Astyanax mexicanus: one gene and its partners. The protein of the gene in region 2 interacts with the protein of the main gene of each other region in a biochemical or structural test. Links are inferred from orthologs where the notes say so. Each region holds a gene or a part of one and is shown on either strand. Other genes may lie near its edges.

What was found.
Region 1: of the proteins of mcm7 (region 2) and cdc7, one has a biochemical effect on the other in vitro, tested with the Homo sapiens proteins (2 studies listed by BioGRID). The link is inferred for Astyanax mexicanus from reciprocal best matches to the Homo sapiens genes MCM7 and CDC7.
Region 3: the proteins of mcm7 (region 2) and chek1 form a complex in vitro, tested with the Homo sapiens proteins (2 studies listed by BioGRID, with this or other methods). The link is inferred for Astyanax mexicanus from reciprocal best matches to the Homo sapiens genes MCM7 and CHEK1.

What each region holds. Positions count from the first base shown.
Region 1 is NC_064411.1:55,010,807-55,021,389, forward strand, and holds the start of cdc7 (cell division cycle 7-related protein kinase), read left to right. Parts: upstream 1-6,094; 5' UTR 6,095-6,299; intron 6,300-7,135; 5' UTR 7,136-7,164; coding exon 7,165-7,234; intron 7,235-7,342; coding exon 7,343-7,429; intron 7,430-7,854; coding exon 7,855-7,990; intron 7,991-8,785; coding exon 8,786-8,879; intron 8,880-8,965; coding exon 8,966-9,108; intron 9,109-10,519; coding exon 10,520-10,583. Other genes in the region: tceanc2 (transcription elongation factor A N-terminal and central domain-containing protein 2), read right to left, coding at 623-817, 3,437-3,633, 4,881-5,022, 5,092-5,196. UniProt on the Homo sapiens protein: Kinase involved in initiation of DNA replication. Phosphorylates critical substrates that regulate the G1/S phase transition and initiation of DNA replication, such as MCM proteins and CLASPIN.
Region 2 is NC_064426.1:60,247-70,222, forward strand, and holds the start of mcm7 (DNA replication licensing factor MCM7), read left to right. Parts: upstream 1-5,900; 5' UTR 5,901-6,076; coding exon 6,077-6,107; intron 6,108-7,474; exon of another isoform or gene 7,475-7,578; intron 7,579-8,270; coding exon 8,271-8,350; intron 8,351-8,437; coding exon 8,438-8,602; intron 8,603-8,690; coding exon 8,691-8,815; intron 8,816-8,902; coding exon 8,903-9,083; intron 9,084-9,198; coding exon 9,199-9,336; intron 9,337-9,443; coding exon 9,444-9,593; intron 9,594-9,740; coding exon 9,741-9,855; intron 9,856-9,976. Other genes in the region: cohesin subunit SA-3, read right to left, coding at 74-170, 620-817, 1,481-1,577, 2,235-2,287. UniProt on the Homo sapiens protein: Acts as a component of the MCM2-7 complex (MCM complex) which is the replicative helicase essential for 'once per cell cycle' DNA replication initiation and elongation in eukaryotic cells.
Region 3 is NC_064424.1:6,591,653-6,601,738, forward strand, and holds the start of chek1 (serine/threonine-protein kinase Chk1), read left to right. Parts: upstream 1-6,004; 5' UTR 6,005-6,168; intron 6,169-7,324; 5' UTR 7,325-7,343; coding exon 7,344-7,408; intron 7,409-7,503; coding exon 7,504-7,727; intron 7,728-8,469; coding exon 8,470-8,534; intron 8,535-9,039; coding exon 9,040-9,109; intron 9,110-9,198; coding exon 9,199-9,387; intron 9,388-9,490; coding exon 9,491-9,595; intron 9,596-10,086. Other genes in the region: cfap53 (cilia- and flagella-associated protein 53), read right to left, coding at 986-1,204, 2,188-2,491, 2,925-3,098, 3,223-3,452, 4,742-4,813. UniProt on the Homo sapiens protein: Serine/threonine-protein kinase which is required for checkpoint-mediated cell cycle arrest and activation of DNA repair in response to the presence of DNA damage or unreplicated DNA.

The DNA of each region.
Region 1 (10,583 bases), on a different chromosome or scaffold from region 2:
TAACTGCTGCTGCTGATTAACTAGTTAACGTTAGGGTGTATTTTATCGTTTGTCTTCAGAAAGGTGAGAGATGATGCAGAAATGATTTATTACTGTCCATTCCTTAATTCCTCTGTGATGGGGAGCTGAAATTTGCTTTGAATATCTTTTATTTTGTTTTATTTTTCCGTTCCACCTTAAATGATGCAGCCCCTGCTGTCTGTTGCACCATTTAAGGTGGAATGGGAAAGTTAGCTAGCTAGCTAGCTACTGATACAAACTATTAGCGACCTTTTAATCCTTTTTTATGAAGAATTTGGCCTTAAAACATTGAAACTACTCATTAAACTATGGTAAAATAGTGCTAATCGTCACTTTTAGCTTGGAAAATATTTACATTTGTGGGTTTCTTACCAGTGATTCTGAAAAATCTCTGTATGAAGGATAACAAGCCCTATACCTATACCTTCCCCTAACCCTAACCTACCCCTGCAGCCTAACAAGAATCAGGACACCTCTAGCACACACAAAACAGAGGGGTGGTGGATCAGGGGTGAAATGGGATTGGACCATAGCATTTAAAAATCATACAGTATAAAAAGTTTCACATAAAATTAAAATAAAATAAGTAAGATGGTAGGAGTCACTGTTTCTTCTTGTGATTGCTCACGAACGTGTTGACAGGGAGTGTCCCGTCCCTCACTTGTGCTCGGACGTCCGGTTTGTGCTTCAGAGCGAAGACCAGCGCTCTGATAGTTCTTCTATAAACCACGTTAATCAGACGAGAGGACTGATGAAACACCTCCCTCTCCATGTTCTCCACCAGCCCATCACTGACCTGCAGAAACCAACCAGAAACCAGAGGAACATCACACGAAACAAAATGATGTTTTCTTTTTCTTATAGTCTTTTTATTTATATACAAAACAAAAGCCAAATATGAGACAGAACAATAAAACAAACATTGTAACCCACACAAATCCACCCCCCATATATCCTCCTGAGACCCTGCGTCCTTATATGGGGACGTTACTGCTTCTCTGCATCATGATACTTAGGCTGTGTCTCAATTCAGGGGCTGCATCCTTCGAAGCACTCATTTAAAGGCCAATTACGTCACCGCGGTGCGACTAGGCTGTCCCATTTCGAAGACTCCTTCGAATGCGGCCGACGAATGCAGCTTTCCTTTCCTCAAAAACAAAGGATGCACCGGGTGTATCCCTCACAGCCTACAGTATCCCAAGATTCATTGCGTGCCGGCTTATTTCAGCGCGAACAGGGCAGAGTCAGCAGAGGAGTCGGCTCTATTATGTAGTTTATAGATATATAAATACTTATAGATATTATAAATATTATTTATATATTATATCATTTATATTATTTAGTTTATATGTATTATCATGTTTATGTTGTTATATGTTAATAGTTTATACATATGTAAATACTATACTTCATATATATATATATACATATATATATGTATATATATATGTGTGTGTATGTATTTATGTATTATTTAGTTTATTTTTAAGTATTGTTTGGTTTATATATATGTAGTATATATAAATATATATATATATATAAAATACTATATATATATATATATATATATATATATATATATATATATATATATATATATATATATATATATATATATATATATAATAGATAATATAACATAATACTTTATTCTAATTTATTCTCTTTTTTCTAACTTCATTTCAAACGCCATTTTATTTATGTTCAGTTCCACCCGTTCACATTAAAAATATTTAAGTAACTGCACAGTTAATTAACCTGGACTTAATTAATTTGGTATTTTGTGGTCTGAAGCAAAACTAGATCAAAATCTCTGGCTCATTTCTCAGCCCTTTGGTTCTCAGGTCACTTTGGTTGTGGAGGGTAGAATCTCAAACAGGAAACAGGAAATACACCGTAGGGTAGACTGTCCCATTTCAGTACTGCCATCGCAGCCTACCCATCCTTCAAAGGACACACCTTCGTAGACCACGTCCTTCGAAGGATGCAGCCCCTGAATTGAGACACAGCTTTAATCAGTTAAAATGTTGACCCTTTGACCTCATATGAAGACACTTCCAGTACCATTACACTCAATTAAAATATATAAAAAAATATATATGTCTCCATTTAAGGACATACTGAGGACGTTTTTGCAGAAATCACAATTAAATTAAATTAGATTAGAATTGTAATTTAAAAAATACATTTTTATGAATAAATGAATGAAATGATACTGAAATGAAATGTACTCAGAACTTTTCTCTGTGGATAGATTGAGCAATTCCACTCGTCTCTTTTTTGAGTGAATAATTGCTGATTGCTGTTGTTTTTCTGTAATCAAGTTTTTACACATCCAACCCACAGCTTCCAGTTTACCCTACCCACAACCATCCCTCCCCACCTGTTTGCTGTTGTTTTTCTATTTTACTCCCATAAAAACACTCTTACAGTGAGGAACAGCAGCAGGAGCTCCTCAGATAAAGTGCTGTTCCCGTACCCCTAATTTCCCTTAACTAATCTCAAGCTAAACCTGGGCCACAGAAGGATATACAGTAGAAATATACATATACATACATACATACATACATACACCTACATACACATATATTAAACAAAAAAGGAATGTGAACCCACTTCTCACAACCTGTCTAAAGTTCTATATTACCTAAGCTCTTTATATAACCCATAACGGGTCCCCACATTGTTTCAAAAACCTCCTGTTTATCCTTTACAATATACAGGGTTCATACACTTTTAACCAATACATTTCCATGACTTTTTCATGCCTTCAAGGCAAATTTTCATGACCATACGATTAGAATAAAATATTCTAAGACACTATTCTGAGAACCTTTATTGGCTGTAAGCCATAATCATCAACAATAAAATAAATAAATGCTTAAAATAGATGCAGATTTCATTTTCCAGCCGGATGTGGAACACTGCCCACACTGCCAAAAATATTCTTATTTTCTGAGACACTGATTTTTGGGTTTTCATTGTCTGTAAGCCATAATCATCAACTATAAAATAAATAAACGCTTAAAATAGATCACTCTGTGTTTAATAAATCTATATAACAATATAGTGCATTACAAAAACCGACAATGTTTTCCTATCTCTCCTATCTTTAAATTCCATTCGCAAACCACCCATCCCACCACTTCCAGTTTACTGTACCCACATACAACCCCCCCTGTTTGCTGCTGTTTTTTTTATTGTACTCAGATAAAAACACTCATAGAGTGAGGAACAGCAGCAGGAGCTCCTCAGATAAAGTGCTGTTTCCGTACCATTCATTTCCCTTAACTAATCGCAAGCCAAACCTGGGTCTCAGGTTGGTTGGTTGTTGGGGTTTTACTGCAATAAAGTAACTTTTCAATCATATTCAAATTTTTTGAGATGCACTATGTATCAGTGCAGTACATCCTACCTCCGGTCCGATGCTGTCAGCGAGGAGTTTGACCGCGTTGCTCCGGAGCCCCTCAGTCTGTTTATCACTGCGGACCTCTATAGAGGGTTTGTTGGCGTTCTCCGCGATGAAGGTTCTCCAGTGTGTGTAGACTTCCCGCGCCAGAGCCTTCACCTCAGCGTCCGGATGCTGCTTACGCACGTTATTAACCGTGTGACCTACAGGACAAACAGTATTCATACTTACATACTGAAATCTGTATAATATATAGAAGAGTATACTGAAAATTACAAAGTAAATGAATAGTGAAGTGATCCGGACTATGAAGAACCACATAAGGAATCATGTAGTAACTTAAAATTACTGTTAAACAAACACAACAACAACAAATACTCTGGTTTCTGAGGCTCGTAACTCTTTTCCTGGGGCAGACCTGATGAGTGCCCGTTCCATCATCATAATGTTTTTGATTTAGTGTTTGCGGTGACTGCACTTAAGAATGCTTTGCTCTTCAAACTTTACAACTGATGCTCTCAAACACTTTATTAAGAGACAAGAAATTCAAGTAATTAACTCTTGACGAGTTCAGCACAGCTGTTAACTGAAAGCCTGAATTCCAGGTGACTCTACCTCATAAAGCTGACTGAGAAAATCCAGCAGAGATGTAGAAAACTTTATCTATGCAAGAGGTTTTAGTTTAAAGAATGTAAAATATTAAACATATACTGTTTGTTCAACACGTTTTTCTTTACTAATTAATTTTAATATGTTTTGCTTCATAGTTTGGATGAATTTAGTATTAATCTACGATGCAGAACATTTCAGAGTATTGAAAAAAAAAACACTGAATTTAAGGTGTGTAACTGTTGACTGGTACTGTATATTTGTTAGAGAACATTTGTGCAGCTTGACATTAAATGGACATTAAAAGGCAATTACATTTTTAGTTACTTGGATTTTATTGTATATAAATTTGGATAAAACATTTTAGAATGTCATGTTTTGTGCACATCACAGAAACATTCTAATATTCTTATATATATATATATTTTTTCCATTTTTACATACAGCAACAAATGTAAGTTTTATTATACCATGGGGAAAATTTTGAAAAAATAGAAAATTTAGATAATATAATATTAAATTCATAATTTCCTGAAGTTATTATTGTGAAGTGCCGAAATGGAAAAAAAAAATTGAAAAAATGTATAAAAAAAATTTCTTCACTATACTAAATGGAATAAAAATATATATAATTTTAAATAATATAAAAATTATTATTATTTTTTAGTTAATTGGATTTCATTTTATATAGAGTGTGTATTAAGAATATTACAGTCTTGTTTTGTGTGGATCACAGAAAAAGTCTCATATTCTTATATTTTTGCACTGGAACATAATTAATGTCTGAAAGGGTTAATTCAAATATCTACAAATAAAAAAACAAGGTAGCTCCTTTTTTTACCAATTCTGGTGGATCTCAGCACCTCTTTTGAAGGCACTTTCTTGTCCAGCTCCCTCAGAGCCATCAGCATGTTCTCCTTAGTCTGAGCAGGAAGTTCCAGCATGGCCTTAAACCTCTCAATGTCCTCAATCACCACCACCCTCTGAATAACACAGAGAAACCTGTTCACACCCTGTTCACACACATCACTACCTCACACTACACTCCTCACCTTCAGAGACTCCAGAGTGGCCTGTCTGTACACCTTCTCTGCAGGTTTCCCTCCCTGCTGCTGTCCTCCAGCCTGCTTAGGGATCTTCACCACAAACCTGTCCATCCTCTTCCTCTCTAAAAACGGGTCCTAATGTTCTGGCTGCTTCACTGATGATCTTCTCATGTCTTGCTTTCACTTAACACTGAGCACAACAACAATGAACAGGAAGTTTGAGTTGCTAGTGGAGAAAACCGGAAATTCAAAATTAAAGTCGCATACAAACAAATACAAGAAAAGAAAAGTGTGAGTAAAATAAAAGTCTGAATCGTGAAAATAATTCAAATTAATTATTACAACAAAAATGTATTATAATTATGTTCACTATTCAGACTTTTATTTTACTCACACTTTTCTTTTCTTGTATTTGTTTGCTTGAGACTTTTATTTTGAATTTAAAAATGTTATAGAAATGTTATATTATCATTTTTTTTCTTTTTTCTTTTTTATTAATTTTTGTATACAATGCGATCCAACAGCATGAAACAGACACAATAATAGATCGAATTTACATCACAACAAAACAAAAACACAAACAAACAACAAATCTAAACAAACAAACAAGAAAAGAAAACAGTGGGATTTAAATAAAATTTCAAATTATATATGACATTTATGTATATTTCTCTTTTTTCTATTTCTCTTATTTTTGGTCTATAACACTAATTTCACTAGTTTATTAAGTCCCAGTCCCCGGTTAGTTAAGTCCCAATTAATTAAATTGTCCCCACGACTTAATCATCTTGTTCCCACACATTAATAAATTGCCCCTGTGACTTAATCATCTCATTCCTACCTAGTCGTCCAATTCTTTAATTTTCTTGTTCCCACTTATTAATAATTATTATTATTATCATTATTATTTGAATTTTCTTACGTGATGTCGCCTTAAGATCTCCGTAGTACTGTGATAAATAATAATGAACTTTTATTTTGAAATTTGTCAGTCCGCCATTGTTGGTTTGCTGCGCGTGACGTCAGCGGGGTGTCGGTTTTAGCGGGTTTTCCGTAAAGCGGTTTATTCAGTTCTGTGGAGTTTTTAGCTTTTAAACTTCATATTTACCACCATTTACCCGCTTTAACCGATATAAAACCTCTCCCCGCGGGGTAAAAGCGGATTAAACTCATGTTTTAAAGGCTGTTTGGTAATAAAGAGGACTTTGTTGAAGGTAAGTTAAAGTTATTTGTTTTAGTTCCGAAACAAAGTAAATAAACCGGATTAAATTCGGATAATAAAGCTTTAATTCATCATTAAACAGAGGAAAAATGTGATAAAGTGTTTTTGCAGAGGGTAATTTATTGTTTTAATGTGTGTTTGTGTTGTAAATTGCTGAGTTACGGTGTTTATAAGGGCAGTATTGTGTTTATCTGTTCAGATTTCTGATGGTTGAGGCTCGAAAATAAAATACTAGGTTCAAATCTTCTTTATAAAAAAAATTCCCTGTTTTCTATAATAAAATTCCAACTTTCTAGTTTTTAATTTCTGCCCCTCACAAAAACTGAATTTTAGAATTTTCTACATTTTTTTTATTTTTCAGTCTAAATTTGAAAATGTAAATTTTATTTTTTAGTTTTGTGAAAAATAAATTGTGTTTTGTTTTTGTAATTTTTTTTTTGCCTGTCACATTCAGAATTTCAGGAAAATTTCAGGAAAATTGATCTTTTCTCATTTTTTTGATTTTTCCGTTTTTACATACTGCAACAAAAGTAAGTTTTATTATAAAATTGGAAAAATCTGAAAGTTAAGAGAATATTAAATTAAAATAATTTTCTAAAGTTGTGATTGTGAGGTGCTGAAATAAAAAAAAAAAATAAAATTGTAAAATTATGTATTTTTTATTTTTTTAAATTGTGAAGTCCAGAAAAGTTTTGTGCTTTATTTTCTGCTTTCATATTATGCCTTAAATGATCAGAAGGTTAAACTTTGAAGTTAAGTGAAGTTAAATGTTACACTGACCTTGTAAGCTGTGTGTGTAAAATGATCTTATTTTTTGTGTTTTTTTAGGCAGGATTCTCCAATATATTTTCTTTATAATGGAGAAGGAAACGGTGCCGGTCTTACAGAGGAAACCAGAGGAAACCGAAAATAAACGAAAAATCTCTAGTAAGAATAATATAAAAGTTAAAAAAATTAATAATTTTCTAGCTTTATTGGTCATTCTACAGTTTGATTGTATTCAGTATTTGTGTGTGTGTGTGTGTGTTTTTGCAGGAGATGTTGAGATGGATATTGAGTATCTGTATGAAGTTGTGCCCCAGCTGTCCCGGGTTTTTCGAATCACAGACAAAATTGGAGAAGGTTTGGAATTTGCGTAATTTTAAAACCCTCAAATAGAAAATAAAACTCTAATAATATTGAAGAAAGCAACTTGTTATGGTATTTTTTAATGAAATTCTATATTTCAGCCTAAATACACATGATGGTTCATTAAAGAGGCACTATACCCCCTGATTTTAGCTGACTAGTTTCTCAGGGGGACGTCTGTGAAATATATTTCACACTTCTACTCAGTGATAAAACTCCTGCATCGGACTGCAATTGAAAAAAAGAGGAGAACCAATGAGTTTTTAGGCTTTCTTGGTCACATGACATCTCGTTCAGTAGCTCCTCCATTTCCATTCGCTGTTGTGTTTACACCCAAAGTGTAATTACGGTGCGCGGCAGTGGACATATAGCTATTTTATTTTATTCTAACTGTAAATTCTGTTTTTTTTTATCCTCAGGTACCTTCAGTTCTGTGTATCTCGGTGAGGCTCAGATGACGGACGGCAGGAGGGAGAAGTTTGCGCTGAAACATCTCATCCCCACCAGCCACCCGGTTCGCATCGCTGCAGAACTGCAGTGTCTGACTGTAGCAGGGTCAGTGCTCCTCCTCTATTCACCTCATTTAAACCTTAGTAAAGTTTATTTCCTCAGAAATTAATACAGTCTGAAGTAGCCAGATATGGAAACTAGAGAATACAGCTGACGAAAAAATAAGAGACAACTTAAAATTGATGAGTTTCTTTGATTTTACCAAATTGAAAAACCTCTGGAATATAATCAAGAGGAAGATGAATGATCACAAGCCATCAAACCACCAAACTGAACTGCTTGAATTATCCAAAAGCAGTGTGTAAGACTGGTGGAGGAGAACATGATGCCAAGATGCATGAAAACCATCAGGGTTATTCCACCAAATATTGATTTCTGAACTCTTAAAACTTTATGGATATGAACTTCTTGTTTTATTTGTATTATTTGAGGTCTGAAAGCTCGGCATCTTTTTTGTTATTTCAGCCATTTTTCATTTTCTGTAAATAAATGCTCTAAATGACAATATTTTTATTTGGAATTTGGGAGAAATGTTGTCTGTAGTTTATAGAATAAAACAACAATGTTCATTTTACTCAAACATAAACCTATAAATAGCAAAATCAGAGAAACTGATTCAGAAACTGAATTTTTACATTTCTTTACGTTACATTCATTCTTTTATTTGCATTAAAATATCCACTGTAAACTTGTTTGTCTTAAGAAGAAGTAGTGAGATTAATCGCAATTAATCACAGAAATTTGTTGTGATTGATCAGATTACATTTTTTAATCAATTGACACGACTAATTAAAATATATTGACATTTTTTAATGAGATATTTTGTGTTTTGTGTTGCAGTGGTAAGGAAAATGTGATGGGGGTGACGTACTGCTTCAGAAAGGAGCATCATGTGGTGATTGTGATGCCCTATGTAGAGCACCAGCCTTTCGTGGTGAGTACTGTTGAATAAAATCATGGATTAATATCACTTTAATTCCCTTTATAAAGGTAATAAAGCCGTGTTTCTTCCTGTTGTAGGATATAGTCGGCACTCTGAGCTTCGAGGAGGTGCAGCATTACATCTATCACTTACTGAAAGCCCTGAAGCACATTCACGAGTTCGGCATCATCCACCGAGACATCAAACCCACAAACTTCCTCTACAACCGGCGGGACAAACAGTACGTCTTTTTATTCCTTACTCCTCTCATCATTCAATAAAACCCCTTTCCAGATAAATCTCTCCATCCAGATAGAGTGAATCTGATTGTGATTGGATGTAGAGAAGTATAAACATAGCAGGAACATAGCAGATATATGTAGTGTCGTATGAAGATGATCCGTGCAGAGACTCAAGAGAACTCCAGACAAACTCCAGCCCAACTAAACTTCTTTAATATATTTACTATATTCTACTAAAATACATTCATTTTCAATCAGCATATATGCAGCTAAAACACTAGGGAACAGCGTAGTGCATCTTAAATTATATTATCAACATGAACATTTTAATATTTTAACATTATAGTCATTATGGCTTAATATATATACATATATATATATATAAAATTTAATTTTTATTTTTTAATATTGTGAAGAAGAAATAGTTTTTTGTTTTTGTATTTTTTTTGCCTGTCACATTCAGAATTTCAGGAAACATTTTAGAAAAAATTATCTTTTCTCATTTTTGAAATTTTTCTGTTTTTACATACGGCAACAAAAGTAAGTTTTATTATACAACGGGAAAAATTAAAAAATCTGAAAATTAAATGAAAATAATATAAATAATAAGTTAGGATTGTGAGGTGCCGAAATGGAAAAAAATTAAAATTGGGAAAAAAGAATAAAAACACATTTTTTTTCTTCACTGTACTAAACGAAAAAAAATATATATATATATTTTTCTCATTTTCTGTAAATAAATGCTCTAAATGAAAATCTTTTTATTTGGAATTTGGGAGAAATGTTGTCTGTAGTTTATAGAATAAAACCACAATGTTCATTTTACTCAAACATAAACCTATAAATAGCAAAATCAGAGAAACTGATTCAGAAACTGAAGAAGTGGTCTCCTAATTTTTCGCAGATATGTATATACTAGTATTTAAAATGACACCCCTAATATGAATATAATTGCATTTTTTATCATTTGCGTTTTTTACATTTGTTCTTTTGTTCTTAAAACTTGTGTCTTAAGAAGAACAATGCGATTAATCGCAGTTAATCACAGAATATTGTTGTGATTAATCAGATTAGATTTTTTAAATCGGATTAAATTGTTAATATACATTGACATTTTCAATGAGATTATATTATTATATCCCAAATTATATTATCAACATTAACATTTTAATATTTTAACATTATATTCATTATGAGAAAAATGTACATTACTTTTACTTTTATTCTGTAAGTAGTTTTTAAACCAGAACTTTTTTAAAACACTTTAAGTAAAAGAGTAAAAAGCTTTGATATCTTAAACTTGTATATATATATATTTATCTATAATATATATATATATATATAGTATCTATAATAAACTTCTACCCGACAGAGTAATGACTGTGTTTATTGGGTTGTCCTCCTCTTCAGGTACGCTCTGGTGGATTTCGGGCTGGCTCAGGGAACTCCGGATACTCAGATCGAGCTGCTGAAG
Region 2 (9,976 bases):
TTTAGCTGGGCAGCTGCCGACAGAGGTTAGCGCAAAAGGTGGTTTAAAATCCAGTTTGAAAATCAGGTCTCACCTTTGCAGCCGCAGCACTGAACAACAAAATTAAAGAGCTCCCGAAGTCCCTCCTCCCGGTCCTGCTTATAGTCATCCAGCCAGTCATCAACCACCATCTGAAACAGTGCACCTGAAAACTTTTAGTCTGTAACAAGGAAGCCATTATTGACTGATGTTCATTACAGGGACCTGCTGTCAGTTCACTGCATTCAAGCTGAGCAGAAAGGGTAGAACATTTTAGACTACTGTAGCCTGGCAGTGCCGGGGTTTGATGTACACCACAGATTTATACTGTTCATATTCATATCAGGATTATTTAATGTTGGCTATACGTATACTGAGTTTTTTAGTTTCCTGAGCAATTTAACTGCAACTTGCAATACTACAGCACTCCACATTACACCAGCTCCAGACTGGACTATTCATCAAAATCGCTTCCAGTTTTTAGATTCTTCTGCTTCTGAGTTTAAAGTTGAGAGCTGCACTAATATATTTATTTTATGACCTACTAACCTGGAGGTCTTTATAGAAATTAATTGTAGAATAAAACTTAAACACCCCTTACCACGATGGCGCTGCGTCCTGAGCGTACAGACTCATACAGGTGTCCCGCAGCAGACTGGCTCCTCCCCCACTCCCTCCTCTGGCTCCTTCCCCCCCGCCGCGTCTCGGTTGCGAGGGGGGTTGTGGGCGTGTCGGGCCGGGATGTACCGGAGCTGCTGGCCGACTGACTCGCTGTTCTCTGCCGGAGTCTTTTGGGAGACTGTGGAGACACAGCTTAGAAGTGAATGAGTTTAGGAGAGTTAGTGTTAGTTAAATGTGATTGTCAGCGTGTATTAGTGAAGCGAGTGTATCAGAGCCTAAGCGAGTGTAAGTGTAAGCGAGAGTAAGCAAGTGTAATTGTGTGTAAGCAAGCGTGAGTGTAAGCAAGAGTGAGCAAGTGTAATCGAGTGTAGGTGAGTGTGAGTGAGCGAGTGTAAGCGAGAGCAGGGGCGTAGCAGCAAATTCTGGGCCCTGTATACTCTCAATGTCAGTGGGCCCCTATCCATGCCAGTACACAAGTATCTGGAGTTTCATGGGCCCCTCTCCCTACTAGGGCCCTGAGTAGTCAGACAACTTTTTCCCCCACTACCACGCCCATGAGTGAGAGTGAGTGAGTGTTATGGAGTGTAAGTGAGAGTGAGCGAAAGTGAATGTTGGTGAGTGTAAGCGTGTTCGTGTGAGTGTTAAGACCGACTGACATAATTTTTTTTGGCGTAAAAAATCGAAAACGTAGTGGAAAACTCTCTCAGTACTCCATACTTTCGTGAGTGAAAACAAGAAAGCAAGAGTGAGCGAGTGTGTGTAATCAAATGAGTTTAATTTGAGGCGAATGTGAGTGAGTGTAAGTGAGTGAAAGTATGGATGAGAAAGCAAATGAAAATACTGCTGTTTCCACTGCCATGTCCAGTTTTCTCTTTGAGATTCTTAGCTGGAGCTTGAAGTCTGCATCTGAGACATCGTCCAGATCCTCAGGACTACTACTGTGTCACACACACACACACACACACACACACACAAACAAACACAAATTACGTTTACTTGCAGGGACATTTCAGTATCATGATCAAATCTAAGCTGATCAGTAAATTATTTCAAGTCTAAAATTAAGTGTCATCCTCTTGATTAATTAGTAACCATAGATTTTTTTTAGAAATATCAGTTAAGAATTGTTTTAATGTTACTGGTGTGGGTATTGTTCTTTCATACTAAATGGAATAGGAACAATTTATATTTAACAGGATTAACATGACACTAAAGACTTGAGGAAAGAGTTAAATTCCAGATCTGAGATGTATTTCTATTAAGATTAATGCAGCACCTCAGTGACATAAAGCTAAGTAAACATGGTGTATTTCACCAGTGTTGTTCTTCTCTTGATGTAGAATATGGCGTTTAAAAAGTGGATCAGTGCCCCAATGTTGTGTGTGTTGGCTGTGAGTTGTCCTGTCAAAGAGAGATGTACATGTTCATAAACATCCCAACAAATAATAAAACAAAACATCAGGGAGGTGTGATGAGTACAGGTTGGTAAATTTAAAGATTTACTAAAATTATAATTCAAGTTTTCTATTAAATTTTTTCTTCATACCTCACATATCACCCACATTTGATATCATAATATCAAAATATATGCGTACATGTTCCCAGAGGCTTTAAACACCAGTTTACCTGTCCCGGTCAGACTCTTCATACTTCATGCTCTTCCCTTTATTCACAAAAACCTGCTGGAAAACAGAGAGGGTAACAGCTTTACCTCTCATATCAAAGGACTTTTAAAATTGTTTAATTCTACTGAAAAAAGGTAAAACACATTAAATCACTAGCTGTACTATTGTACAATTCTGTAGGAATAAGCTGTACTATTGTAAAATACTGTAGAAATAAGCTGTACTATTGTAAAATACTGTAGGAATAAGCTGTACTATTGTAAAATACTGTAGAAATAAGCTGTACTATTGTACAATTCTGTAGGAATAAGCTGTACTATTGTAAAATACTGTAGGAATAAGCTGTACTATTGTACAATTCTGTAGGAATAAGCTGTACTATTGTACAATTCTGTAGGAATAAGCTGTACTACTGTAAAATACTGTAGGAATAAGCTGTACTATTGTAAAATACTGTAGAAATAAGCTGTACTATTGTAAAATACTGTAGAAATAAGCTGTACTATTGTAAAATACTGTAGAAATAAGCTGTACTATTGTACAATTCTGTAGGAATAAGCTGTACTATTGTAAAATACTGTAGGAATAAGCTGTACTATTGTAAAATACTGTAGAAATAAGCTGTACTATTGTACAATTCTGTAGGAATAAGCTGTACTATTGTAAAATACTGTAGAAATAAGCTGTACTATTGTACAATTCTGTAGGAATAAGCTGTACTGTTGTACAATTCTGTAGAAATAAGCTGTACTATTGTAAAATACTGTAGGAATAAGCTGTACTATTGTAAAATACTGTAGAAATAAGCTGTACTATTGTACAATTCTGTAGGAATAAGCTGTACTATTGTAAAATACTGTAGAAATAAGCTGTACTATTGTAAAATACTGTAGGAATAAGCTGTACTATTGTACAATTCTGTAGGAATAAGCTGTACTATTGTACAATTCTGTAGGAATAAGCTGTACTATTGTACAATTCTGTAGGAATAAGCTGTACTATTGTACAATTCTGTAGGAATAAGCTGTAATATTGTACAATTCTGTAGGAATAAGCTGTACTATTGTAAAATACTGTAGGAATAAGCTGTACTATTGTAAAATACTGTAGGAATAAGCTGTACTATTGTAAAATACTGTAGGAATAAGCTGTACTATTGTAAAATACTGTAGGAATAAGCTGTACTATTGTAAAATACTGTAGGAATAAGCTGTACTATTGTAAAATACTGTAGGAATAAGCTGTACTATTGTAAAACGCTAGTTAAAGTTTTAGAACTAGAAAAGGACTCTAGCAGCAGCTAATTAGCAGATTAGCATTAGCACGGTCGAGTTTAGTGGCTCTGAGCGGGGAATTTACCTCAGAAATTGTGAGATGAGCGGTTCTACAGTTTCAGGAGCGCTGAGGAACCCGGTTCTCCTTTGCAGCAGAACTTTTCCCCGGTTCTGGTTCTAGCTCAGTTTGAAAGAGATCTCTTGGTTCCGAACGGCTAAATTTAGGCGCGCTTTTAAGCGAGTTCTGATTGGACAAAACGGCGCAGCAAACGCTAGAAAACAATTGGTCAATAACAGCGTCCAGTAAACGCTGATGGATTGTTTTGTGGTTTCTACCCAGCAACACAACCAGAGAAAAAGCTACGAGCCCGCTGTTTTTAATTGGATGTTCAGCAGTAATCCTCATCTTCTTCATTATAGTAAATGGGTTATATCATATATCATTGTTAAAATACTGACTAAATAACATATTTGCTAAAAATCACGTTTAGAAGCAGTGACTCATGAGAGTAGGGAAGCGCTTTAATGTCTGTTTGACCATATTCATAAAAACTAAACAAAAAAAATATCTACAACATAAGAATTATACAATTTAAACATTAATGCAAATACAATAAATGAATATATATAAATGGTAAGATGTACAGTGTGAAAGAAAGAGAATAAGATAGGAACTAAGGATTAAAATTTAAATACGCAACAGTGTTTTTACGATGCTGTAAAATAATCAGGAGGTAGTGTATGGTTTAATAAATATTAATATAAATGGTTATATAAATATTTAACATAAACACAAATTAATGTGATGAGAAAAATAAACTAGACTAAGTTATTGGAAATGTATGTTAGTTTTATGAGTGTGATTAATTGCTTTCTAAAATAAAGCATTCCTGGATTTATTGTGTTGGAAAATGGTGTGTTTTAAGCACAATTTAAACAGAATTAGTTCACATATTTCTCAATATTTTGAGATACTATTTAAATATTTTGAGATACCATATTAATATTTTGAGATACTAAGTCAATATTTTGAGATACTATAAAAAATCCTGAAGAAGAAAAAATATTACTGTGGATTTTTTACATAATGACCCTGTGAACATAGCATGTAATATAATATAATGAATGGTGAAATAGCACTTTACACCTAATTCCAAGACCTTTATCTCTTCAGACTTAAGTCGTCTCACAAAAATGACTGACGCACCTAATACTCAATACGTCAGACTGTCAGTGTGAGGTACTGTTTATTAGTGTGAGGTACTGGGTATTAGGTGTGTCAGTCATTTTTGTGAGACGACTTAAGACTGAAGAGATAATGGTCTTGGAATTAGGCGAAAAGTGTTATTTTACCATTATTTTTAATATTAATTAATTTATATTATATTACAGGCTGTGCTCACAGGATCATTGTGAAAAAAATCAGTAATATTTGACCTTCTTCAGGATTTTGACAGTCTTATGTATTGTGTAATAGGTATGATAGTTTTCTAGACGACTTAAGACTGAAGAGATAATGACCTGGGAATTAGGCCAAAAGTGAAAGCAATAACATTTTAATTCATATCATCTAATTTTATTTACATTATATTTCACTCAGAGTTAATCTCTGTCCCTCGCATTGTGTTCTCTCCTTTATTCAGAGCGTTTGCATAGCGCTTTGCTTACATGCTGTTATTTACTGTTAAAATGCGCCATCTACAGGCGGCCGTATGTATGTTCAGCCAGCATTTAAGATGGAACGGAAATCTGAAGTAGACACTGGCGAATAAGAAGCTATAGATAGTATCTCAAAAATATTGACTTAGTATCTTAAAATATTGACTTAGTATCTCAAAATATTGACTTAGTATCTTAAAATATTGACTTAGTATCTTAAAATATTGATTTAGTATCTCAATATATAGAGATAGTGTCTCAAAATATTGAGATAGCAGTTTACTTAATAATAATAGTTTTTTTTGCTGGATTATTTTTATTTTTTAGGTGGCGGGAATGGGCTTCCATATTTAAGAGATATGATTGTTGATAAAAAAATACTCCTCGCTCCCTACATAGTGCACGACTTCTACAATCAAAAATGGAACTGCATTTAGTGCACTAGTTAAAAAAAAACATACGTAGGAAGCAAAGAGCCAATTGAGATTCACCCTGACATTTTTGGCGCCATTACAGTTCAGAACGTGGTTGGTCGACAAGGTCACGCGGTGTGTTACGTATCTCTCAGTTTTCGCGCCACACATAATCCCCGCCCGTCTTTTCTAAGAATCTATCGCTGATTGGTGGAGTGTGTACGTATCCTTTTGCTCTCATTGGATGATACCTTCAGAACTCTTGTTGTGATTGGTCCGCAGCGCAGTTAGACTCCCGCCAGTTTTCGCAGACCGTGCTGTGTGGAGTGGAGCGTGCGCGGAGACACAGTGACGAAACTTTAACACTCGCGTTTCTAGATAATAACTCCTATAATCAATATTCTCCAAGGAATAAATCGATTTAGGATCGATTTAGGAGGCTGAACATCAAAAAGACCGATTGGAAATGGCACCGAAGGATTATTTAGCCGAGAAAGGTAAGAAACTGCAGGAACTCTGAGGATCTGAGAAAGAAAAATGGCGATCAGATTTTTAATCATGTACTGACAATTATTCTGTGTTAATACAACATAATGTTTTTAATTTCGAGTAAGACGCTTTTATCCGGTGGAAACATTTTATAGCGTTTTAGTCTAACGGACCGTTCCACCTTAAACGGTGCTCTAATTCTGTAGCTTTCTGTCGCTGCTAGCTGTGTAAGTCATGCAGCTTTTAAGGTGGAACTACTTGTACTACTTGAATTACTTAAGGTGGAGCGACTTGTAGCTTATTAGTAGCGGGAGTTTCGGGATGGTGTGTGTGTGTGTGTGTGTGTGTTGATCAGAGCGATTCCACTTATTTCTCCTTAGTGACTCACTATGATTAATAAATAGTGGTTGTCAGCTAGTTAGCTTAGCTGTGGTTAGCAGTGTTCATTGTTCGCAGGCTAACTTCCCGCCGCGCTTTAACTGCGCTATTAACCACACAGCTCCTGCTCCGCTGTTCATCACACTTCTATAAGCAGCAGCTGTAAAGTTAGTTCTGTTAATTTAGATCAAACCGTGTTTTAGACCAAAGACTAAAGTTTTTCCAGTAAAGTTTACAGAGCTGTGGACGAGCAGCAGTACCCGGATGCACGGATAAGTCAATGAGTCGGTTCGTCTGAGCCGAGCATATGAATGAACTTGACGCAACTACGCAATGTTTACGTCTCAGATCAACAGTAAATACCGAATTAAATCCAAACATAGAATTTATACACACAATTTAAGGTCGTTAATATCACACAGCTGCGAACTGAGGGTGAGATCTTTAAACCGAGGAGCAGCGGATTCCTCTTTTGAGTTTTTATAGTACGGTCAGCTGCTTCGAGTGAACTGGCAGGAGTCGACTCTGGGATGACTCGATCTGCGCTGGTTACCCGGATGCACCCGTAAAACAAAGAGCTGTGGCGCGCGGAGGAGCACGTGCAGTGAGAGTCTGCGAAACACGCACGCAGTTTGTTTACACACACAGACACACACAGAATATACGCGCAAGTAGTAAACATATTAATCGTTAATGTAAATGCGGAGTAGTGTTAAGGGATCTCTATATTATATTGGAATAAAATATCTGCGCGTTATTTTGCTTACTATATTTTGAACCTCATCGTTAGTTTTATAATTGAAATGTAAACAAGTAAACAGACTGGCGTGTCCTGAAGTGTAGATTAAGTCCTACTGTTCCTGTCTGAATGCGTGTGCTGGGGGAGGGTTGCTTCTGTGTTTATCCGGGCACTATTTGGAGCAGCGCGGAGGGGCACAGTATGTGAGAAGGCCGGGAGCCATGTGCTTCTTTGTTTACAAAAACAGCAGCGAGCGCGGAGCTCCGTCTGTCTCTACCCCGCTCTCTGCGCGCTTACAGCGGGGTTCCTGGGCAGCCCGGCGCGCGGAGAAGACCGCAGGATCCAGTCGCCGACACACCGCGGTTCGTATTCGGAGCGGGGCTGGGCTCGGAAAAAGGAGGGCGGCTGGGAATCCTAATGTATAAGAAAAGCTGTTCGGAAAGGAGCAGGGGTGGGGGTTAAAGATGGAGTTCCGAGCTTTAATAAAGAGGGTTGACACACAGGGTATATAAATATAAAAAATGCTGAAAACTCGAACTCTACGTTCCACCTTAAATTAGTCCAGCAGTTAGAGCAGCAGTGCGCCATAGGATCCAGCGTGAAAGTGCTGCACTAATTTAAGGTGGAGCTGACAGTTTCTGATAGTTCACCGATTTTTAAGGTTATTGGTTATTTATTAAGGTTACTGCGCGCGCGTGTGATGTACCTGTACACGGTTATTGTGACGCACTAAAGCTTCTAATAAGCAGTTGTGGTCCTCCTCCGCGTGGGGGAGGGTGCAAACCACGTGATCACTGTTTATCAATGGGAGCTTCTCCTTTGTCGTGTAGCACCTGCTCCCCTTCACTAAGTGTGAGACATTTTGGACACACTTATGTGGTTTAATCTGGTACGTGTGTGTGTGTGTGTGGGGGGGGGGGGGGGGCGGGGGGGGGGCTAAACATAAGTAAGGGTCAGTAATGGGTACAATCCGATCTGAATTACATTGGGCAGGTCTTTAGAATTGGCGTTCTAATAGTTTTTTTAATGTGTGTGTGTGTGTGTGTGTGTGTAGAGAAGTGCAAGCGCTTCCTGCAGGAGTTCTACTCTGAAGATGATTCTGGAAAGAAGGTGTTTAAATATGGAGCTCAACTGGTGAGTAATACCCACACACCCTCTGTCTTACCGACACTGAGCACTGTCACCTTTTTCTTCTCCAACTAAGTGTGTGTGTGTGTGTAGGTGGCCCTGGCACACAGGGAGCAGGTGGGCTTGGTGGTGGACCTGGATGACGTAGCAGAGGAAGATCCCGAGCTGGTGGAAAGTGTGTGTGAGAACACAAAACGGTACACAGTGCTGTTTGCAGATGCAGTCCATGAGCTTCTCCCAGAGTACCGGGAGCGAGAGGTACACACACACACACACACACACACACACACACACAGCATTCCACTCAGAGGTGTTTGAGCAGCTACTGAAAACTGGTGTGTTGCAGGTAGTGGCCAAAGATGCGCTGGACGTTTACATCGAGCACCGGCTGATGATGGAGACCAGGGGTCGTGACCCCGCCGACATGAGGGACCCCAGGAACCAGTACCCTGCTGAGCTCATGAGAAGATTGTGAGTGAACAGCATATTAATGCTTAAGGGCATAAAAATAAAAAAAGAACACAAATGACTCTCTCTCTCTCTCTCTCTCTCTCTCAGTGAGGTGTATTTCCGGCCACCCTCCACCTCTAAGCCGAAGGTTGTGCGGGATGTGAAGGCCGACAGCATTGGGAAGCTAGTTACTGTCCGAGGAATCGTTACCAGGGCAACTGAGGTTAAACCAATGATGGCTGTTGCTACGTACACCTGTGACCAGTGTGGCGCGGAGACCTACCAGCCGGTACAGCTATCTAGAACCTGTTACTGACAATATCCTCTGGGGGGTCTCTTTGTTTTGAGAATAACTTTTTGTGTGTGTGTGTGTGTGTGTGTGTGTGTGTGTGTGTGTTTTATAGATTGCGTCTCCGAGCTTCATGCCACTCATCATGTGTCCCAGTCAGGAGTGTGTGACCAATCGGTCAGGGGGGCGCCTCTACCTGCAGACCAGGGGCTCAAAGTTTGTCAAGTTTCAGGAGCTGCGGATTCAGGAGCATGTGTGTGTCTTCAATCAGCTCTAAATCAGAACCGGAGTAATACCGGGCTTTGGACCCTCTGTGCTGCAGAGAGACTGTACTAACCTCTGGTTTTGTTTCGGCTGCAGAGCGACCAGGTTCCAGTGGGGAACATCCCGCGCAGTATGACTATTTACGCCAGAGGAGAGAACACACGATTAGTGCAGCCGGGAGATCACGTGGCCGTTTCCGGGGTCTTCCTTCCTCTTCTTCGCTCCGGCTTCAGACAGGCTGTGCAGGTACACACACACACACACACACACACAAAGATTAACCTACCGTTGTTCAGCTGCTGGCTGATAGTTTGGGTTGGTGTGGTTAGAGTTCCTATGGAGGCGCTGTGTTGAACCCTCAGATGTTCCTGTTCTGACTGGCTGTGTTCTCAGGGTCTGCTGTCAGAGACGTACTTGGAGGCTCACTGTGTGACTCTGATGAATAAAACGGAGGATGATGAGCTGGGTACTGAGGACCTGAGTGAGGAGGAGCTGCGGCAGATCACAGGTGTGCAGTCGAGTCTCAGATTTGCAGGTTTTTGCTGTGCTGAGGCTTTCTCTAAATGTTTACTTACTTCAGATCATCTGTGCAATACCTTAAACTCATCACTGTTCTACATTATAAATAT
Region 3 (10,086 bases), on a different chromosome or scaffold from region 2:
TTTCTTTATTTAGTTGAGTAGTTCTTGCTTCTCATAATATGGATAAGACATTACTCAAATAGAGCTATTCACAGTATACCTGTAACTCTACCTCTTCACTACTTTACAACTGATGCTCTCAAACACTTTATTAAGAGACAAGAAATTCAAGTAATTAACTCATGATGAGTTCAGCACAGCTGTTAACTGAAAGCCTGAATTCCAGATGTCTCTACTTTATAAAGCTGACTGAGAAAATCCAGCAAAGATGTGTAAAGCTGTCCTTTAAGAATAAGGTGCTAATTTGAATAATCTTAAATATAGAATATATTCTTCATAGTTTGGATGACTTTAGTATTAATCTACAATGCAAAAAAAATTTTATAATGAAAAAACACAGAATTTTACAGTGTGTCCAAATTAGTACTGTAAATCATAGATGGATAATATTACCATGCAGTGCAGTGGGAGGTAATGATTGTGACTGGTGTCATCTGACAAGAATTGCCATAGGATATGATACTAGTTCCTGTCCCATGATGACTTTTAGCAGGTTGGTGTAGTTTACAGTGCTTTGCTATTTTTACTATAATGCATTACACAATTTATTAATAGCAGTTTTGACCAATTGTGCCCCTGACTTTTAGGTTTATTATTCAGTTATTAATCTTCAGGCATATTATTCAGTAATGGCTATGAAGTATCCAGAGAAAATGAAAAAAACTACTCTGTAGTTAATATTATAAAATTTAAGAGTGGACAAATTAACCTATTGGCCCACATATTGAGCCTTAGCACTATAGAAGTTGATTAGGCCTTTGGGAGAATCTGAATGTGTAGCTTCCAAGCTTTTGGGCATTTCTGTCCACAGTTTCTGATCACTTAATTTATTAAGGTTTCAATACTGCACACTATATGACTGAATCAAAACTGTACACATCCTCTTACCTTTAACCTTCTTCTGCATGGTTCCTCTTTGCTTTAGTGTGGCACGATCAGTTCTTACCTTCCTAAGAGCTTCTTCCTTTTTCTCGTCCTTCTCGATTGTCAGCAGTTGCTCCAGGATGCTCATGTCCAGGGCCAGCTCGTCCTGCTGCTCCTGCGCCACTCGCTTCATCTTCAGCCGCAGGGAGAGGTCCAGCTGCCTGCGCCGCCGCTCCTGACTCTGGAGCTTCTGTTTGTGCTCCCTTTGCTCCTCCAGACGCAGCATCTCGCTCTGCTCTCTCTGAACAACACAGCATACAAACACAGCTTCAGCAAAGACAGAGCAGTGAAGGAACAGTGTCTGTCAAAAGTGTTTAATGAACCTTCATATACACTGTGGCTTTTGGTAGGGGAGACCAGGGATTGTTGTAACATGTAAAAGTTGTAACACCTTGAATTTCTCCAATTAGAAACAAGCTAGAGTGATTACACTCACTGTGCACATGCTCAGTTAGACTGAGTTAGACTTAGTCTTCTTGCTAACAAAAAAGAAGACGTATTTGAAACTCCAAATGTGTTTTACATTGTGTTACAATGTGTTGTATTAATTTTCCACCAAGATCTTGCAGCAGCATTGATGATGGTAGAGTCTGACCACTGCTCAAAGCAGCTCTTCTCCATCCAGCACATCCCAAAGATTCTCAATGAGGTTAAGATCTGGACTCTGTGGTGAACTCTCTCAATCCATGTGTGAAAATGATGATCTCATGCTCCCTGAACCCTGAACTCTTTCACAATTCCAGCCCCATGAATCCTGATATTATCATGTCTGTATCACCAGGGAACAAAAAAATCCATTGGTGGAATAACCTGGTCTATATTCAGTATATTCAGGTAGTCAGCTGACCTCATTCTTTCAGCACATACTGTTGCTGAATCTAAACCTGCAGACCAACTGCAGAATCAACCCCACATCATTTACTTACTTAAATCCAGGTAGCGATTTTTTTTTGTCCAGACAGTGTATATTGCAATACTGTAAAACAAGGTAATAATTTGCAATTCTTTAAAACAAATTTAAGAAAAACTTTTATAGCATAAAAAGATCCTATTATATTAATAAAATCTGAGTAAAGGAAAAGTTTGATTGCTATCCAATCAGAACAGTCGGATCTGACAACAGAGTACAACACTTCTAACTGGTGCAAGTGGTTTAAACACAACACCAAATTGAAACACTGTCTACCACTAATCTTTACATGTAAACTGTTAGGAAACTAGTACCAGTAACTTGGCCTCTTCCTCTTTGAGCTGTTTGGCCTGCTGTCTCTGCTGCTCAGCCGCCATCATCTGATCCTGCAGAAAAGCCAGGGTGTGAAAGTTGCTCTCGCGCTGACGCTGAGCCTCCTGGATCTCGCGCTGCTCTTTGGCCAGTCGGTCGTTCTCCCACAGATTAGCGAACAGCATTTCTTCATCCTTATGCAGACGGCGTGCCTCGTCCCGTGTACGGATTTGAGCAGCTCGCTCCCTGCAGATCTCGTCCCGTCTGCGCAGGGTCTCTGCAGTCCTCAGCTCCTCACACTGCTCTCTGAAATACAAGCGGAGTAAAACACCCATGATTAATTAAAATAAATATTGTATGCCTTTTGCATTCACAGTGACATTCACAGTGACATTAGCACACATGCCTGGAGCAGTGGGCAGACATCGCAGCAGCATGTGGAGTTAAGGACCTACTGTAGCTTGACGAGCCCTGATTTCAAACCTATAATATAACTTCTGCACCACCACTACCCCTAATGGTCACATGTTATTAGAGTAGCAGGTTATTGATGACAGGACTGTGGCCCTTAAGCCCTTAAGTGACAAATGCCCACCACTCCAGGCATGTGTGCTCACTATATATCATTATGTGTTTCCAAAACCCTTTGCATGCTGTAAGTTGCCATTTACAGCATATCCTTTAGATACAGTTATGTTATGCACAGTTAGCAGTAATAAAAAAAAAAAAACATTTGTACCTAAAGAGCTGGTCAAGTTTCTCAGCAGCGACTTTCTGCCTCTCGCTCTCTCTTTTCTCCTGCAGATACTTTGCCCTCGCTCTCATTTTGGTTTGCCTCTCCAGCACAGTCTCGTTCTGCTCCTCTGTTGCCCGCAGAAATTCCCTCTCCTCTGATTCCAGCATCTTACGCAGCCTGTAAGAACAGTAATAGTGTGAAAGAAAAAGAATAAAAGAAGGAGAGAAAAAGTAAGAAACTACTCATAATAAAAGTACGGTAGTAGATTTTAATTAGTGTAAAAATGAACTGAGTTGAGAACCTTTCTCTCCTTTCATCGATGCTCATCTGATACTGTTCCATAGCCTCATTGACCCGCCTGTCAATAGTGGCCGACACCATCCGCTGTTCAGTGTTTCTTTCCCAAAGCATCTTCAGGTCACAGGTTTTCTGGTCCTTGGTGAATTCTAGCACCTTGTTTCGACTGACTTCCTGTTTCCTCCTCTCCAGAATAAAGTAATCTGGGGGTTTGGATGATGGATGCCGTGCCCTCTAAAATATTTTAAATAGATAATTAATCAATAATCATTAATAAGAAAAGACTTCACAATAACAAGTAGGGGTGGGACATATCGTTAGCGATATGAGGAGCTCTAAACTCATTTGGACTTGGCCCCCTTAATAGAATTACTTTTTATAACTGTTGTTTAAAAGCTTTTAAAAATTACATCTGCAGTTTTAAAACATTTGATACTGATTTGTGTTGAGAATTTTTTTTACATTTTTCATTATAAAAATTCTTGATTTTATTTATATACATATATTATGATGTCATATAAAACCCCAAAATATGACAACATGGTGAGGGAACTAGGGAATCAAATTCTGGGACTCCTAGAAGTTCTATGACTGAATGAATACCTGGTAGAGTTGTATGGAGCAGAAACAAAGCAAAATGCAGACTTTCTAAGAGGACACAGTTGCTAGGCTAACTTAGCTAACAAACACAGGACAATAGATTGTCACCAGTCTTACCATAGCAGCAGAAATGTACACGTTTTCTCATTCAATGTATTTTATATATTTTTTATATATTTTTTTACATTTACATTTAATAATGAAGACCTTATATCTACAGGAACACGTGATGAATTGTTCTTTAAACAAGTTTTAAACAAACCAGAATATGTTTTATAATTTAGAGTATAAACTCTAAAGTAGTACATTTATCTTTGAGTATTGAGTATCTTGGTATTTTAATCTCAGTGTCTTCATGAGGGAGTGTCACCTGGAAAAGTTTTCTCAGCGTCTTGAAGGAGTTCCTGGAATACATTACATTATATTAAATACATACAATAATTAAAAATGGGGTGTTTTAATTTGCCTCTTTGGCTTTTAGTGCTGTTTTTTTAGTGCAGTGGGCAGGGTTAAGTTATTTTTTCACTGGCTAATAAACTTTTTCTTTGGCTCGTTTATAGTCTAATCTATTTTTTGTTTTACTGTTTATTATGTTATTCCATATGTGTCCCTTAATTGTTTTTTTTGGCCATAATATTAATCTACAATGTAGAAAAAAACTTACAATAAATAAATAAATAAAAAACATTGAATGAAAAGATGTGTTGAAAAGTTTGACTGGTAAATTAAGTCTGTGAGAATTCTGAGTTTAAACTGTTGAATGGATTTTAAATACTAGATATGTAGCCACTGGCCTGCTGTAATATTTAATATCATATTTAAGTCATATTTATGTAATAAACCTTCCTGATCTAGTTACTGTTTATCAGAATTGAATAATAACACATTGGAGCCTCTGATAAAATAAGACAAAATAAACTCACCACTGCCACTGAGTGAGGGGTGGGTCCGGTGAACTCCCGGCACTGTGTTCGGTGTCTCTGACTCATCAGCATATTGACTAATTAGCTAATTATTAATATTACAAATCCTAAATTTTCCTAAGTATTGCTCTGGGGAGTTTAAACCTGATGGAGGACACTTCTGTTTGCGGTAATGCCCTTCTGTATCCTAGCAACCAGCGATACCAGAGATAATCTACAGAGGAGAATACCCCCTTATTAATGTGTTCTGGGTATGTTTGACACTAGAGGGCGCTCCTGATTGAGCCTAAAATGAATGAGTTCGTATGGAGCAATTAAACAAAATCATATTTGATCAATGTTTGATCGTTTTTATATAAAAAAAACTTTTTTTAAACACAAAACAATATAAAATAATTCAGTACAAGACACAACAATTGTAAAAAAATGTGTCAATAATATAAAAAAAATCCCAATTAATCGCACATTTTCTTCCTTAAGACCAAGCTTTTGATAATGGGTATTTAAAAGTTAAATGAATCAGTGTTAGAAACACTTAGATATGTATTATTGTTGCAACTACTTTAAATATAATTGTCATCAATCATGCTAGCATTATTTTTATTCTGGTAATTAACTGTATTTTTGGGAAAAAACTAAAATAATTCATTCAAATAATACGGCATAAAATAATATAATGCAGCAAAAAATATTGCAGAATATTTAGTGCATGCATATTGCCGCTGTCCAATAAAAAACACTGATCTCCAAAACAGAAAAAACCTTGTAAACTTTCAGTGGAAATCAATATAAAAAGAGTTTATTTCAGTGTGAGGGACAGGTTGTCTGTTCAAATTATGTAGTAAACTGAAAATTAACAAAAATGGAGATAAGTGTTTTTTTTTTCATAGGACAGCGCTGATATAAACTGCTAACTAAAACAATTATACAATAAATACACTTAAAACTTCACAGTAAATAACAGACTACTTTTAAGACAGAACATCCCTATCATCACAATATGGATTTTTAATATCACGATATTTCTGTGTCACTATATATGGTATATATAGGATTAAATAGGATTATTGTTTTATGGTGTATTTATGTTATTTTATTTTAGCCTTCAATCACTTTCTTTATTTTATTTTTTAAAATACCCATTTTCTCCCCAATTTTGCACAGCCCACTCATTAATCACTTGCTTCTAAACTTAATTCTGAATAAGACTTGTTGAGGCTTTTATTTTGAAAAGTGGTGGTACTGTATCGTGCTTCCTGTGAGCGCGTTGCTACTAAACGCGCCAAAGTTTGTTTTGCTGTGTGGCTGGAGGAAGCAGCGGATATATAATATACTCATTAATAAATCGTGTTTTCTGCGCTAACACGCGCTTATTATTTATATGGGAGAATTTCCCCTTAATCCACTACAGAGCTGCGGTGTGTGAGGTGAGTTAGATCAGCGCTGAGACTCAGAAACACTGTTTATTTAACTGCTGTTATACAGTCCGGCTCTCTGACTGTAACGTTATCTGCTGCAGATCACAGATCCTGAACTTCGTCTATATTAATACATATAAATAAATAAATATCAATTTAGGATAAATATTGAATATAAATATATAAGAAGGGTTTAATGGGTAACTGCCGGATTAGATTAATGTTAGAAAAAAGTGAGAAAACAATAGAAACTTTAATAAGAGAAACTCTAACGTTACAGGCTGGCCTCTCAAGAGAGTAGATAATCACTATCAATAGATAAGCTTAATATTGATAAGTTATTGATACGTCAATGACTGTACTGTATCTTAATATTGCAGTTAACTTACAGCATTATTACAACTGCATCTGTATATGTGTATACAAGTGCATCTCCAAAAAAAATAGAATATCATTGAAAAGTTACTTTGATTAAGTAATTCGGTTCAATATGTGATATATGTTATATATTATATAGATGTATTACGCACAGAGTGATCTATTTTAGGTGTTTATTTATGTTATAGTTAATGGTTAATTATGGCTTATGAAAACCCCAAAATCAGTTGCTCAGAAAGTTAGAATATTATATAAGACCAGTTGGTACTTTTGACAGTGTGGGCAGTGTGCCAACTAAGTCCTGCTGGAAAATAAAATCCGATATCTTACAGCCCTCATGCTTACTTCAGCTGACAACTTTTATGGAGATGTGGATTTCATTTTCCAACATGACTTGGTTGGCACACTGCCCACACTGCCAATTATATGATTGGGTTTTCATCAACAGTAAAATAATCAAGATATTTTAAAGTATTGTTGTGATAAACTTAGCAGATAAAGAAATCATTTTGTTGTCGTTTTTTGGAAACAACAATAACATTCTAAGATGATTTTGTATGAAATAAGTATGTAACAAAATAAATAATGTAATATGAAAATAATCTGATATAACAACGCAAATCTGCCATAATACTAAATTGTAGAATATGTATATTTAGTTTGTGTATAAACAACTATACAAAATATACCCTTTAAAGCTTTACATGGCAAAATAAATACAACAGAATACTCATTTAGAAACCTGTTTGTGGAGATTTCTGATCTAATGTTCTGGTTTTGTGTTCAGTGTCTGTTCAATTCAGATAATGGCTGTTCCTTTTGTTCAAGACTGGGATCTGGTGCAGACCCTAGGAGAGGGTGCATATGGAGAGTGAGTGTCCATCTGTGGGCTTTTTCTCTGTGCTGTCTGTTCTGGAACCATTAAAATGATTCTGAATATTTATTTTTTTATGCTGTTTTTTTCAGGGTACGCCTGTTAGTGAACAGAAAGACAGAGGAGGCAGTGGCTGTGAAAGTTGTCGACACATCCCGAGCTAAAGACTGTCTGGACAATGTGAAGAAAGAGGTTTGTGTGCACAAGATGCTGTCACACGCCAACATCGTGCGATTCTTCGGGCACAGGAGTGAGGGGCCCATCCAGTACATCTTCCTGGAGTACTGCAGTGGAGGAGAGCTGTTTGATCGAATAGGTGAGAGCAGAAAACATTGATTTAATGTTTAAATTAAACGTAATAAACCTTAGTCTGACCCTAATTAAATAATTGGTTAAAATATTATATTACATGTAATGTTTTGACACTTGGAGAAAAGGGAACAGCAGTGGTAGATTCCTAAAAACTGTTATTTTTCAGAGATTTGTCATATACTTAAACAGGATTTTCTACACTTTATGCAGTTAAATGTACAGCTGGGTCAGTGTTCTTTTGGCAGTGATGATATTCTTGATATGCTTTAAGGAAAAGCATTGTGAAATATGATAATATATTGTCATATTGCCCAACTTTTATTGGTGTTTGCATAGTTCTGTGGATCCTGAGAAAAATGCAGAAATAAATAAATAAACCAAAAGCACTAAAAACAAACACTATGATGCAGAAAAATGTTCCAAATCTGAAACTATAACATTTGGAGAAAATGTACAAATTGCAGACATGTTAGACAAAGCTTAAAGGACATATTATTCAAAAGCATCCAGTAATTTCTAGGTGAAAAATGTATTATATCAGGTTTAGTATATTCTTGTTTTTCACAGGATGCAACAACAGCATTTTTCCCAAAATTCCCATAATTCAGAGAAAACAATCTTAAACCTGGAGTTTCTAGTAATGGGCATGTAGCCGACTACAGAATGAAGGCAACTACAGGGATCAGCTGGTCTATTTAGCAAATATTTGAAGATAATTAAACATTTATATTTGTGTTGTTTCTCAGAACCTGATGTGGGAATGCCAGAAAAAGAGGCTCACAGGTTTTTCCAGCAGCTGATAGGAGGAGTGGTGAGTGCTGATATTTATTTATTATATTAATTATTTATTAGGGGTGTTCAATATGGTCCAACAATTTATAGCCCAATATTTTTCCGATGATTATATTTTTGACAATACAAAAAATCCTCTGATAATATTATATTTGATCTAAAAATATATTATGCCAACAAAATAAATGTCAAAGCTTTATTCAATGAATGTATAATTTTTGTCTATTTTGTAATCAGTATCTTACCAAAATTGATTTTGCACAAAATGGTAATGAAGTAGCAAAAAATCTATGAAAATATATCTGAAAGTTCCAGAATATTCAGTGCATGCATATAAACTGCTAACATTTTATATATAAACAATTATACAAAAATACCTATTTCATCACATAATACTGATATGGACTTTTAAATGTTATCTATAACGTCACATTATATTGTGTACAATTTATTATAGCTATTATATTTTTTTAAAACTGTAAAGCACTGTAACAGGTTTTTTCTGAAATGTGTTATTTTCACAGGAATATCTTCACAGTATTGGGATCACTCATCGCGACATCAAGCCAGAAAATATTCTGCTGGATGATAAAGGTGGTTTAAAATGTTTAAATCCTTTCGTATAAATATTAAATCTCCCATAAGAAAGGATGTTCATACTTTATTGGTTTATTCTTTCTTAGATAATCTGAAAATCTCAGATTTTGGTTTGGCTACGATGTTCCGGCACCGCGGGCGCGAGCGTATGTTGACCCGGCTGTGTGGGACGCTGCCCTACGTGGCTCCAGAGCTGATGTCCCGGCCGGAGTTTCACGCTCAGCCTGCAGATATCTGGGCCTGTGGCATCGTGCTCACTGCTATGCTGGCTGGAGGTGAGGAGAACACCTGCTGAATTTATTTTACAGTGAGAATAGTGAAGCTTAATGTACCTGTGCTTTATTCTGAAGGTCTCTGACGCTCAGACCTGTTTTACAGAGTTACCGTGGGACCAGCCCAGTGAAAGCTGCCAGGAGTATTTTGATTGGCTGCAGAAGAAAACCTACCTTACACCATGGAAGAAAATTGACTCCATCCCGCTGGGTAATTGGCTGTAATATATAACCTGGAAACTTTAATGCATTAATATTTAATCGCAAATTAATCACATTATCAAGTTTGCCCCGACTTCCTCCCGTAATTAGGAGTTTTATTTTGCAATATAAACATAGTGTTGTAATGCTGGGTTCTGAATTATATTTTCATTTATGCTGAAATGTGGATTTAATACAGCTCTGTAAAAAATGAAAAGAGCACTTCAGTTTCTGAATCACTTTCTCTGATTTTGCTATTTATAGGTTTATGTTTGAGTAAAATGAACATTGATGTTTTATTCTAGGAACTACAGACAACATTTCTCCTAAATTCCAAATAAATATATTGTCATTTAGAGCATTTATTTGCAATAAAAATGAGAAATGGCTGAAATAACAAAAAAGATGCAGAGCTTTCAGACCTCAAATAATGCAAAGAAAAGTTTTAAGAGTTCATAAATCAATATTTGGTGGAATAACCCTGGAGTTCTCCTCCACCAG